2 linked regions of the Neurospora crassa OR74A genome follow. The protein of the gene in region 2 interacts with the protein of the main gene of each other region in a biochemical or structural test. Links are inferred from orthologs where the notes say so. Each region holds a gene or a part of one and is shown on either strand. Other genes may lie near its edges. The genes, in order: NCU02113 and mus-41.

The links.
Region 1: the proteins of mus-41 (region 2) and NCU02113 form a complex in vitro, tested with the Saccharomyces cerevisiae proteins (3 studies listed by BioGRID). The link is inferred for Neurospora crassa OR74A from reciprocal best matches to the Saccharomyces cerevisiae genes RAD5 and UBC13.

The regions. Positions count from the first base shown.
Region 1 is NC_026501.1:1,237,509-1,241,643, forward strand, and holds NCU02113 (ubiquitin-conjugating enzyme E2 13), read right to left. Parts: upstream 2,464-4,135; 5' UTR 1,913-2,463; coding exon 1,860-1,912; intron 1,785-1,859; coding exon 1,696-1,784; intron 1,587-1,695; coding exon 1,455-1,586; intron 1,373-1,454; coding exon 1,191-1,372; 3' UTR 590-1,190; downstream 1-589. Other genes in the region: NCU02112 (hypothetical protein), read left to right, coding at 3,187-4,135. UniProt on the Saccharomyces cerevisiae protein: Has a role in the DNA error-free postreplication repair (PRR) pathway. The UBC13/MMS2 heterodimer catalyzes the synthesis of non-canonical poly-ubiquitin chains that are linked through 'Lys-63'.
Region 2 is NC_026503.1:36,175-40,697, forward strand, and holds the start of mus-41 (DNA repair protein rad-5), read left to right. Parts: upstream 1-1,517; 5' UTR 1,518-1,703; coding exon 1,704-3,477; intron 3,478-3,545; coding exon 3,546-4,523. Other genes in the region: NCU09517 (hypothetical protein), read right to left, coding at 1-634, 721-899. UniProt on the Saccharomyces cerevisiae protein: Probable helicase, member of the UBC2/RAD6 epistasis group. Functions with the DNA repair protein RAD18 in error-free postreplication DNA repair.

The sequences.
Region 1 (4,135 bases), on a different chromosome or scaffold from region 2:
TCCGAAAGACTGTCTGTGGTACTTACTTAGTTAGGTAGTAGTGCTCTCCTCGTTCGATAGATATACTTCTCCACAACCTCTCTATCTCCCGTCCCAAGTCGGTCCATCTGTTCAGTCCTCTTCCGCGGCCCTCCTTTCATCCCTCCCACCCATCCCAAAAAAAAAGGGAAGGAACTTGGGGGTTCTAGTTCATGAATGGAATTCCTCCTGTCGCAAATTCCTCTGTGAACCTCCCTCCCTCTGATAACTCCCTTGGAACCATCCATTCCATTCCGATGGCTACCTAACCACTCTATGTATTCTATAGTAAAGTTTTGGACTTTGCATCCCGGCTGGAATCCTCGAGATTATATTAACAGGTTATAGGTGTCTATTCAAGATGACTGCAGGTATCAGTGTTTTCGCTTGTACAGAAGCTAAGCAATCAATCGTGTTCGTACTTACTGGTTGTGAAGATGGCCGGTGTCTTTCAGTATAAACCACACCGCCCTTCATTTTATATGTGTTATCGTGAGTTTATTGAAGCTTACCGCTACATCTGATCCAAAGGCTCATCCACCCCACTCACAGACGCAAATCCGAACAGTGGTCATGTTGCAAGATATGTAAGTAGTATTTGAACAGCCCTACCCGGTACTCTATCGCTGCGAAAAAAACAACACCTGAAAACACAACGCTTCGAAAGGATGTTCTCTATGTTCGAAAACTCCTCCTTCTGGTGTCTGCCTTGGCGCCGCGTGGCGCTGTTGCATCCACCATGGCATCCTTCACTCAACCCATCATACGTGCCCCTTCCTCGTCCATCGATCCAGTATTCGTTGTCTCTCCTTATCTCGTGTAGCCTTCCCTTCCTCATTCCCCTCTCACGGGCTTTCTCTTTGTGCGTTCCGTATGCACCCTAGGTGGGTGCATGATACACCACCAGCGCCGTGCTTCACACAAACACCTAGACCAACTTCTTCCACTGCTTTCCCTTTATGATCCTCTCTGTTATTTTGCCACAGCCACTTGCTGGCCTTGGTGATTCATCTCTGCTTCAAGACCAGAACAACCAGCTGCTCCTGTCAATTGCCGTCCTAAGGCCCAAACCGATATGGGTCAAAGTTTCCTCCATAAGGGTCATATGTCGGCGCGTGAGCCATGAGGCCCTGTCCCGGGATTTCGTTGATTCCTGGTGCCAGCCTCCGACCCTACTGGGATGGCAAGGCGTACTGCTGTGTCCATTCCCGGGCGGTGGCGACGGCAACGCTGGGGTTCTCCTTCCAGGTCTTGGCCACGTCGGGGGCGAGCGGGTCGTCGGGGTTGGGGGCGCCTAGGAGGGCTTGGATGGAGAGGAGGATGGTGCGGATTTGGAGGGCGGGGGACCAGTTGTCTGTCGGGTTTGGTATCGTGTGTTAGCTTTTCGGAACTGGCGTATCCAACTATCGCGGCTTTTCTTTCTCGGGACTACTCACTCTTGAGGACGTCGAGGCAGATGCGACCCAGCTTGTCGACGTTGGGGTGGTAGATCTTGGTAAGGAAGCGGATCTTGGGAGGGGTCATGGGATAGTCATCGGGAAGGAAGAGTTCGAGCTTGAAGACACCACCTGTGTGGGTGTTTGGTTCTCCTGTTAGCGATCATGTGGTATGTTCTCATGGCGCACGGAAGGTAAGAGATGAATGTAACGGCAGCCGTGGGGTTCAAGGAAGACCAACCCTCATATGGCGATTGCGAAGGGCCGTGGATCTCGACGTCGAAATAGCGAAGGTTGTCTTCGTGGGGAACAGCACTAATACCCGGGACACTGCGATCAGGAAGGAGAAGTTAGGACTTTGGTCTAGACTGTTTGCTTCTCGGGATGAGGATGGTATGTACGTACGGCTCCGCCATCAGCCTTTCGGTCTCTTTGACAATCCGCTTCGGAAGCGCCATGGTGATTAGATTAATTGCTGTTGGTGTTTAGTGCGAAAGGAAGCTCGACAAGCCAGTGGCAGAAATGGTGGTGAGGAAAATGTTTGTCGCTGAGGCTGGGAGAGACAGGAGGGCAAGTGGAGGGGCTATCGCCGATTGTTATGCTGGATGTCAGAGGGCAGTTTAAAGAGGCGTTTCGGAGGCTCCGGTTGACAAATCGAGGCAAACAGTAACGAACAGTGTACTGCGCTATCACGGTGCGAAAGGGCCTGTAAATAACCTAGGGAATGTGTGGTAAAAGCGGTAGTAGAGGTACGTAGGTAGGTAGGTATGGCTAGACCAAAATCGTCGCAAGGCAGTCGATTCTGTTCCTTGTGAACTTGTTGGAGACAAGTCGAAATCGGCAGAACCTACGGTAATCTCTTGCGACACGGGCAATTATTCACGAGCAAGGCGGGACGGGAAGTTCTCGATGATGGAACGCGGAATGGAACTGGAAGGCAAAGTGGAAGAAGGTCGGGTGTGTGGGATGCGCTGACGAATGAACCCGCGGCGTGCCTCTCTGACCAAACCACTGAATGCCCTGTGACAGCGGTCACGGCCCTGACAGCGACAGCCAGAGGTGGCCTACCTAGGTACCTGGGCTAGAGGCATGCGGATCCATGTGATGGGATGGAATCGGCTTCCATCATCCATTCCTCTACCTAATCGGGATCTCGCGATAAGCGCACAGACCACATGATCGAGAAGGTACCTCCTACCTAGTGTAGTGTACTGGCCAAAGTCACTGCCACTGCACCGCTGAGTGAGGTGCCGTTCGTGTCTCCAACTGTTCATCGGCGCCTTGTCGAGGTTGACGCCGTTGTCAGGTTGACCTTCCAATTGAAGAGAAGAGAGAGAGTGTGTGTGAGAGAGAGAGCTGAGAGATTCTCCATCTTGGTCGAACGGTTTCTCCATTCCACGTCCAGTTGTCTTCCAACCTGCCGGCCTTCACACTTTCTTCCGCTGATATCGACGCCTCTCGATATGTTTTGCATTGATCGACGACGACGACCTCCTGTGATCATTTCGGTTTGCATTCGACTTCACCATTCCCGAGACGCCCTACGAATGCCAGGTTATTCGTCCTTGGGGGACCTGGTCTAGTTCAACATAAAGTCTCGTCAAGTCCCGTCAACTCAACTCAACCCAACTCATCCTTGGTTTACCACTTCAGTCAAACTCCAGCACTGAGAATGGGATGAGGGAGGATACGCACCATGCTGCACCGTCTCGTCCAATCCTGATCCCGCAATATGCCCTCCGTATTTGACTCTCCGCCAAAGAAGGCGAAAACAATCAAGTCAGCCTTCGACAGTGAGAGCTTCGATGCCGACCTGACCATCCATGTTGATGGCTTGGTGGGCTCCGCCACCATCTCACCCTCGGGCCGTGATGTTGCTCTTGCTTCCCCCGAGGGCCTCGCCATCATAGACCTGGACTCGCCATGGAATCCACCACGAAGACTGAGCAGCCATGGCCTCCCGTGGCTGGTGGTCGATGTTCAATGGTCTCCCTTTGCAGCTCGTGACTACTGGGTGGCTTCGACAGCAAACCATCGCTGTCTGGTATGGAACCTCAACATGAGGGACGACTCGCCCTCTGGAGCCATCGAGCACTCGTTGCAAGCCCATAGTCGGGCCATCACCGACATTAACTTTTCCGCTCACCACCCAGATCTTCTAGCCAGTTGCTCAGTTGACGGTTATGTTCATCACTGGGATCTGAGAAGACCGAGACAGCCTGCTCTGTCATTCTGTGACTGGTTTGCCGGTGCAACGCAGGTCAAATACAGTCGTCAAGACCCTCATGTCATTGCTTCGGCTCACGATCGATTGCTTCATATCTGGGACGACCGAAAGACTGTCGAACCCCTCAAGACCATTTGTGCTCACACGTCCAAAATCTACGGTATCGACTGGAATCGGACTGATGCCCCCTGCCTGGTCACCTGCTCCTTGGACAAAACCATCAAGTTCTGGAACTACGAAAAGACCGACAAACCAGAGCGTGTCATTCGCACCGACTTTCCAGTATGGCGAGCTAGGCACACCCCTTTTGGCAACGGCTTGCTTGCCATGCCACAGAATGAACCGGGCAACCTTTACCTGTACGATCGGCAAACCGCCCCAGAGGCTCCGAGCGCGTCAGAACCCGTGGCCATGTTCTCAGGACACGGAAACCACAAAGTGAAAGAATTTCTGT
Region 2 (4,523 bases):
GTTGGGTCCGTGGCGAAAGACATCTTCTTCTCTGACCCCCACCTCGGCCATCACATCGAGGGGTAGTAGCAGGGCGGGATGCCGGGTGTTGCCCACGCTCCCAGCCGGACCCTGGATGGGCTGCGATGGAGCGGCGAGAACGGGAATGCCGCGTAGTGTGGCTACGATGCCGCACGCCTTGCCGATGTGACTAGCCAGGTGGTCCATATGTACTGATCGCAAAGGCATGGAAGCCAAGGTCACATACATCAGCGTCGCGTACGTATTCTCGGCGTAGTCTTCCAGCGAGTTCAAGCTGACAAAGGGCCTGTTTTCCATGTGTTGCTCGCGCGTGTTGATCAAGCGTAGGAGCCAGAACTTGAGAGAGCTGGCGCTGTTGGGGCCGGCGCGGGCTTTGAGGTCTTGGATGGCTTGGTGGAGGAGGATGGAGATGGGCTCGCGTGGGGGATTGCCGGCAAAGACGCTGTTCACGGTTTCACGCCAAAAGGACATGCGCATGCGTGCGATGGTCGGGTTGGAAACTGTCTCGGGGAGACGGGCAAGTTCGAGGTTCAGGGTACGGAGGGCGTTGTAGGCGTCCCGAGAGGAAGGAGGGACGAATTGTCGGAGGAGAAAAGCTTCGTAGTCACCATGTCTGGGGTGGGGGGAGAAAGAGTTAGCAGAGAAAGAAGGGCAAGTGGGAAGAATGGCTAGGTATGGGGAGGGAAAGCAGAGACAGACTTGAGCTGGTTCTCACAGTACTGACGGGCCTTTTCGACGTCGCCGTCTGTGACTGTCGCGAGGCCTCGTCCGGAGAGGGAAGGCTGCCACGAAGGCCTCTGAGGCTGGAGACGTAGACGGGGCCGTAGAGGTGCCCGCCCCAGGCCATGACAACAACCTGCCGCTCGAGGGGATATCATGATCAAAGAAGCGGTACTGTTTTCCCCGCTGTCACAAAGTGGTTCACATCTCTCACTGTAACAAGAGACAAGACAACCTCGGCAGCAGCGGGGAGGAAGACAAGCCGACGACGACAGGACATGTTGATTTGACAATTCGCTGAGACCATGTTACGCTGCGCCCCTCAGCATCACAAGCGCGGCGCCTCTAAAGCCTTTATGGTTAGCAGCGATGACGGCATTAAATGGCTTCAGTGGCCCAAGCTTCTGGCTTTCCATACAATCCAGTACTGGTTTGCTTGTTAGTTCGAGACCTCGCATCAACTTTCCGATGCGTTTTCATAGCTAATCAATGCGTGATCTTACCATGGATACACCATTTGTAATATTCTGAATGCCATATCAAATAGTACTAATATCTTTTAACCTTTATACCAACTATTTCGATCTCTTCTTAGAGGGTTTAGGACTAATTGGGATAGATTAGGTTTCGTCTAGTGTATAGAGTATGGTACAGTACCTAGTGTACCCAGCTAACAAACAACCCAGCACTGGACTGTACACTGCAGAGGGCGTAATTAATTACCTCTAGGGTGGCGCGCAATCACCTGACAGCGGGAAGGCGGAAACGAATGCACGCCAAAGTTTCACGGTTGCCACGGCACAGTCGCGTCTCACAGGCGCAACACTGAAGTTCACCATTGCAGTTGGTGCATTCGAGTCGGTTGGGTGACAGTAGCTGACTGATACCGTACACCCGTGGTACGACTACCTAGAGGTACTGTACCTACCTTGAACCTAATGGGCTGAACAACCAACACCTGGATGGACCGACACGACACCATGGACTTCACCAACGAGCCTCTCTCCAAGAAGCGCCGGTTCCTGGGCGACCAGGGTGATTCGGACCATGTCGCTGGCGGCCCCAGCTCGTCTCCCCAGTTCAGTGCTCCCCCGAGCTCACCACCCAGGAAGAAACTCCTCCAAGACCCAAACAGTGAAGTCCAGCCACGAGTTTCCAAAGATGCGGACCACAATGACGACGACGACGACGACGACGACGACGACGACGAAGAACGCCCAAGATTCTTCACAGACGATGGCACCCTAACGCCCCACGCCACGAAGATATGTGCTCCCTGGCTCAACGACATGCCCAAACCAGACCCTAGAAAAGGATATCTCTTGAAAGACGTCGATACTCCGATCGCGACACCCCGGGACGTGGCACCCCCAGTGGTCGAGTCCCCCCAGCTGGCCTTCGACAAAGACACATTCGAAGCTTTTGTTGGCGAAAAGGTTGCGTCCGATATCCTCCACGTCATCAGCAAGAACTGCGGCAACAACATCGAAAGAGCCGTCAACATGTACCTGGATGGAACATGGAAAAAGCTGCACCGGGCGCCTCCAGTCAGAGTCAACTCGCATTCGCCCCTGGTTGTAGGAGGTCAGTCTCCCAAGAAATCATCAACATCACAAGCACGGTCCCGGTCGCACGCTCAAGCCCAACCACAGCCGCAATCGAACACACCAACAAAGGTTCTCCCATCAATGCCAGACGCCCGCTACGTCGGCGCATTTGGTGTTGAGGGATGGGCTACCAGAAGCGGGACAGGCCTCCTCAGACACGGTGACAGCGTCAAGATTGAGCGCCAAAAGATCCAACCACCTACCGTTGCAAGAAAAGGGCAGACCAAGCCTGGCACCCCGCAGTCCATACCACGAGTCAGCGCGGCAGCTGCCAAACGTGTCGATGTCATAGTCCGCTTCAACGACGCCAGTGGCAGGGAACTCGGCCGTCTAGCCAAAGACACAGCCAACTGGGTGTCAACGCTAATAGACCAGAACATCTGCAGATTCGAAGGCATCTGTGTTTACGCGCCCGAGCGTCTACGAACGAACGAGACCGTCTTCTTGCAGCTCAAGTGCTACATGCTACGGTCTGCCTTCTTGGGGAGAACCCTCCAACTAGCCGACAATAGGGCTGCCGGGTTCCACGAGAAAGACGAGACAACAGAAGAGAAGGACCTGCGACTGAGACAAGTGGCGCTTGTCAGACTGTTTCAAGAGATCAACATTGTTCCGTCTCGAGGCAACGCCGCTGCCGCCAAGGACGCCAGGAAAGACCTTCTTGAAGCAGCAGATTCGGCCGAGAAGAAGGCGATGGACAAGGCCAAGGCTGGGGACCACAACACTAACGGATTAGCTTCTCCCCCCGAAGAGGCCGAAGAGGGCCAGGAGCTCGAACAAGACCAACTCGACGCGCTGTACAAGAAGGCCCAATCCTTCGACTTTAGCACCCCCGAGGCTGAACCAGCTAATACCTTCGCCATGACCTTGCGTCCCTACCAGAAGCAGTCGCTGTACTGGATGCTGGCCAAGGAGAAGAACCAGCGAACAGAAGACCGTGAAACATCCATGCATCCCCTATGGGAAGAGTACGTGTGGCCGACCAAGGACCATGACGATAAGGACCTACCTGTGGTTCCTGACCAACCTTGCTTCTACGTCAACCCATACTCTGGCGATCTGTCACTGGACTTCCCCAAACAAGAGCAGCATTGTCTTGGTGGAATCTTGGCAGACGAGATGGGACTTGGTGGGTTTGCCTTTTACATTTTTCTTTTCTCTTTGACCTGATATCCAGCTCACAGTCATGTATCACAGGCAAAACCATCCAGATGCTTTCCCTGATCCATTCTCACCGATCCGAAGTAGCCATCAAGGCGCGGGAGGCTGGCCCTACCTCGGTCAACAACCTCCCACGCCTACCAACAGTCTCTGGACAGAAGACGACAATTGACGCTCCGTGCACAACCCTTGTGGTTGCCCCCATGTCCTTGCTGGCGCAATGGCAAAGCGAAGCTGAGAATGCTTCCAAGGAGGGCACGTTCAAGACCATGATGTACTACGGGGCGGAAAAGAATGTCGATCTGGTGACCATGTGCTGCGAAGCCAACGCGGCCAACGCTCCAGATGTGATCATCACCAGCTATGGAGTCGTCCTCTCCGAGTTTACCCAACTCGCCACCAAGAATGGAGACAGACTCAGCAGCCGCGGGCTTTTCTCCCTCAACTTCTTCCGTGTCATTCTGGACGAAGCACATAATATCAAGAACCGCCAAGCTAAGACCTCCCGCGCATGCTACGAAATTGCCGCCGAACACCGCTGGGTCCTCACCGGAACCCCCATTGTCAATCGCCTCGAAGACCTCTTCAGCCTGGTCCGTTTCCTACGCGTTGAGCCATGGAACAATTTTTCCTTCTGGCGGACCTTCATCACCGTCCCCTTTGAGTCCAAGAACTTTGTCCGCGCCTTAGACGTCGTCCAAACCGTCCTCGAACCGCTCGTCATGCGCCGCACCAAAGACATGAAGACCCCGGATGGCCAGTTCCTTGTTCCGCTTCCGCCCAAACACATCGAGATCGTCGACATCGAACTCTCCGAGCCTGAAAGGGCAGTCTACGACTACGTCTTCAACCGCGCCAAGCGAACGCTCTTTGACAATATGCAGGCCGGCACCGTCATGAAGGCGTTTACCTCCATTTTTGCACAGATCTTGCGGCTCCGGCAGTCCTGCTGTCACCCTGTGCTTGTTCGCAACCAGGAGATCCTCGCTGATGAGGAGGAAGCCAATATGGCCG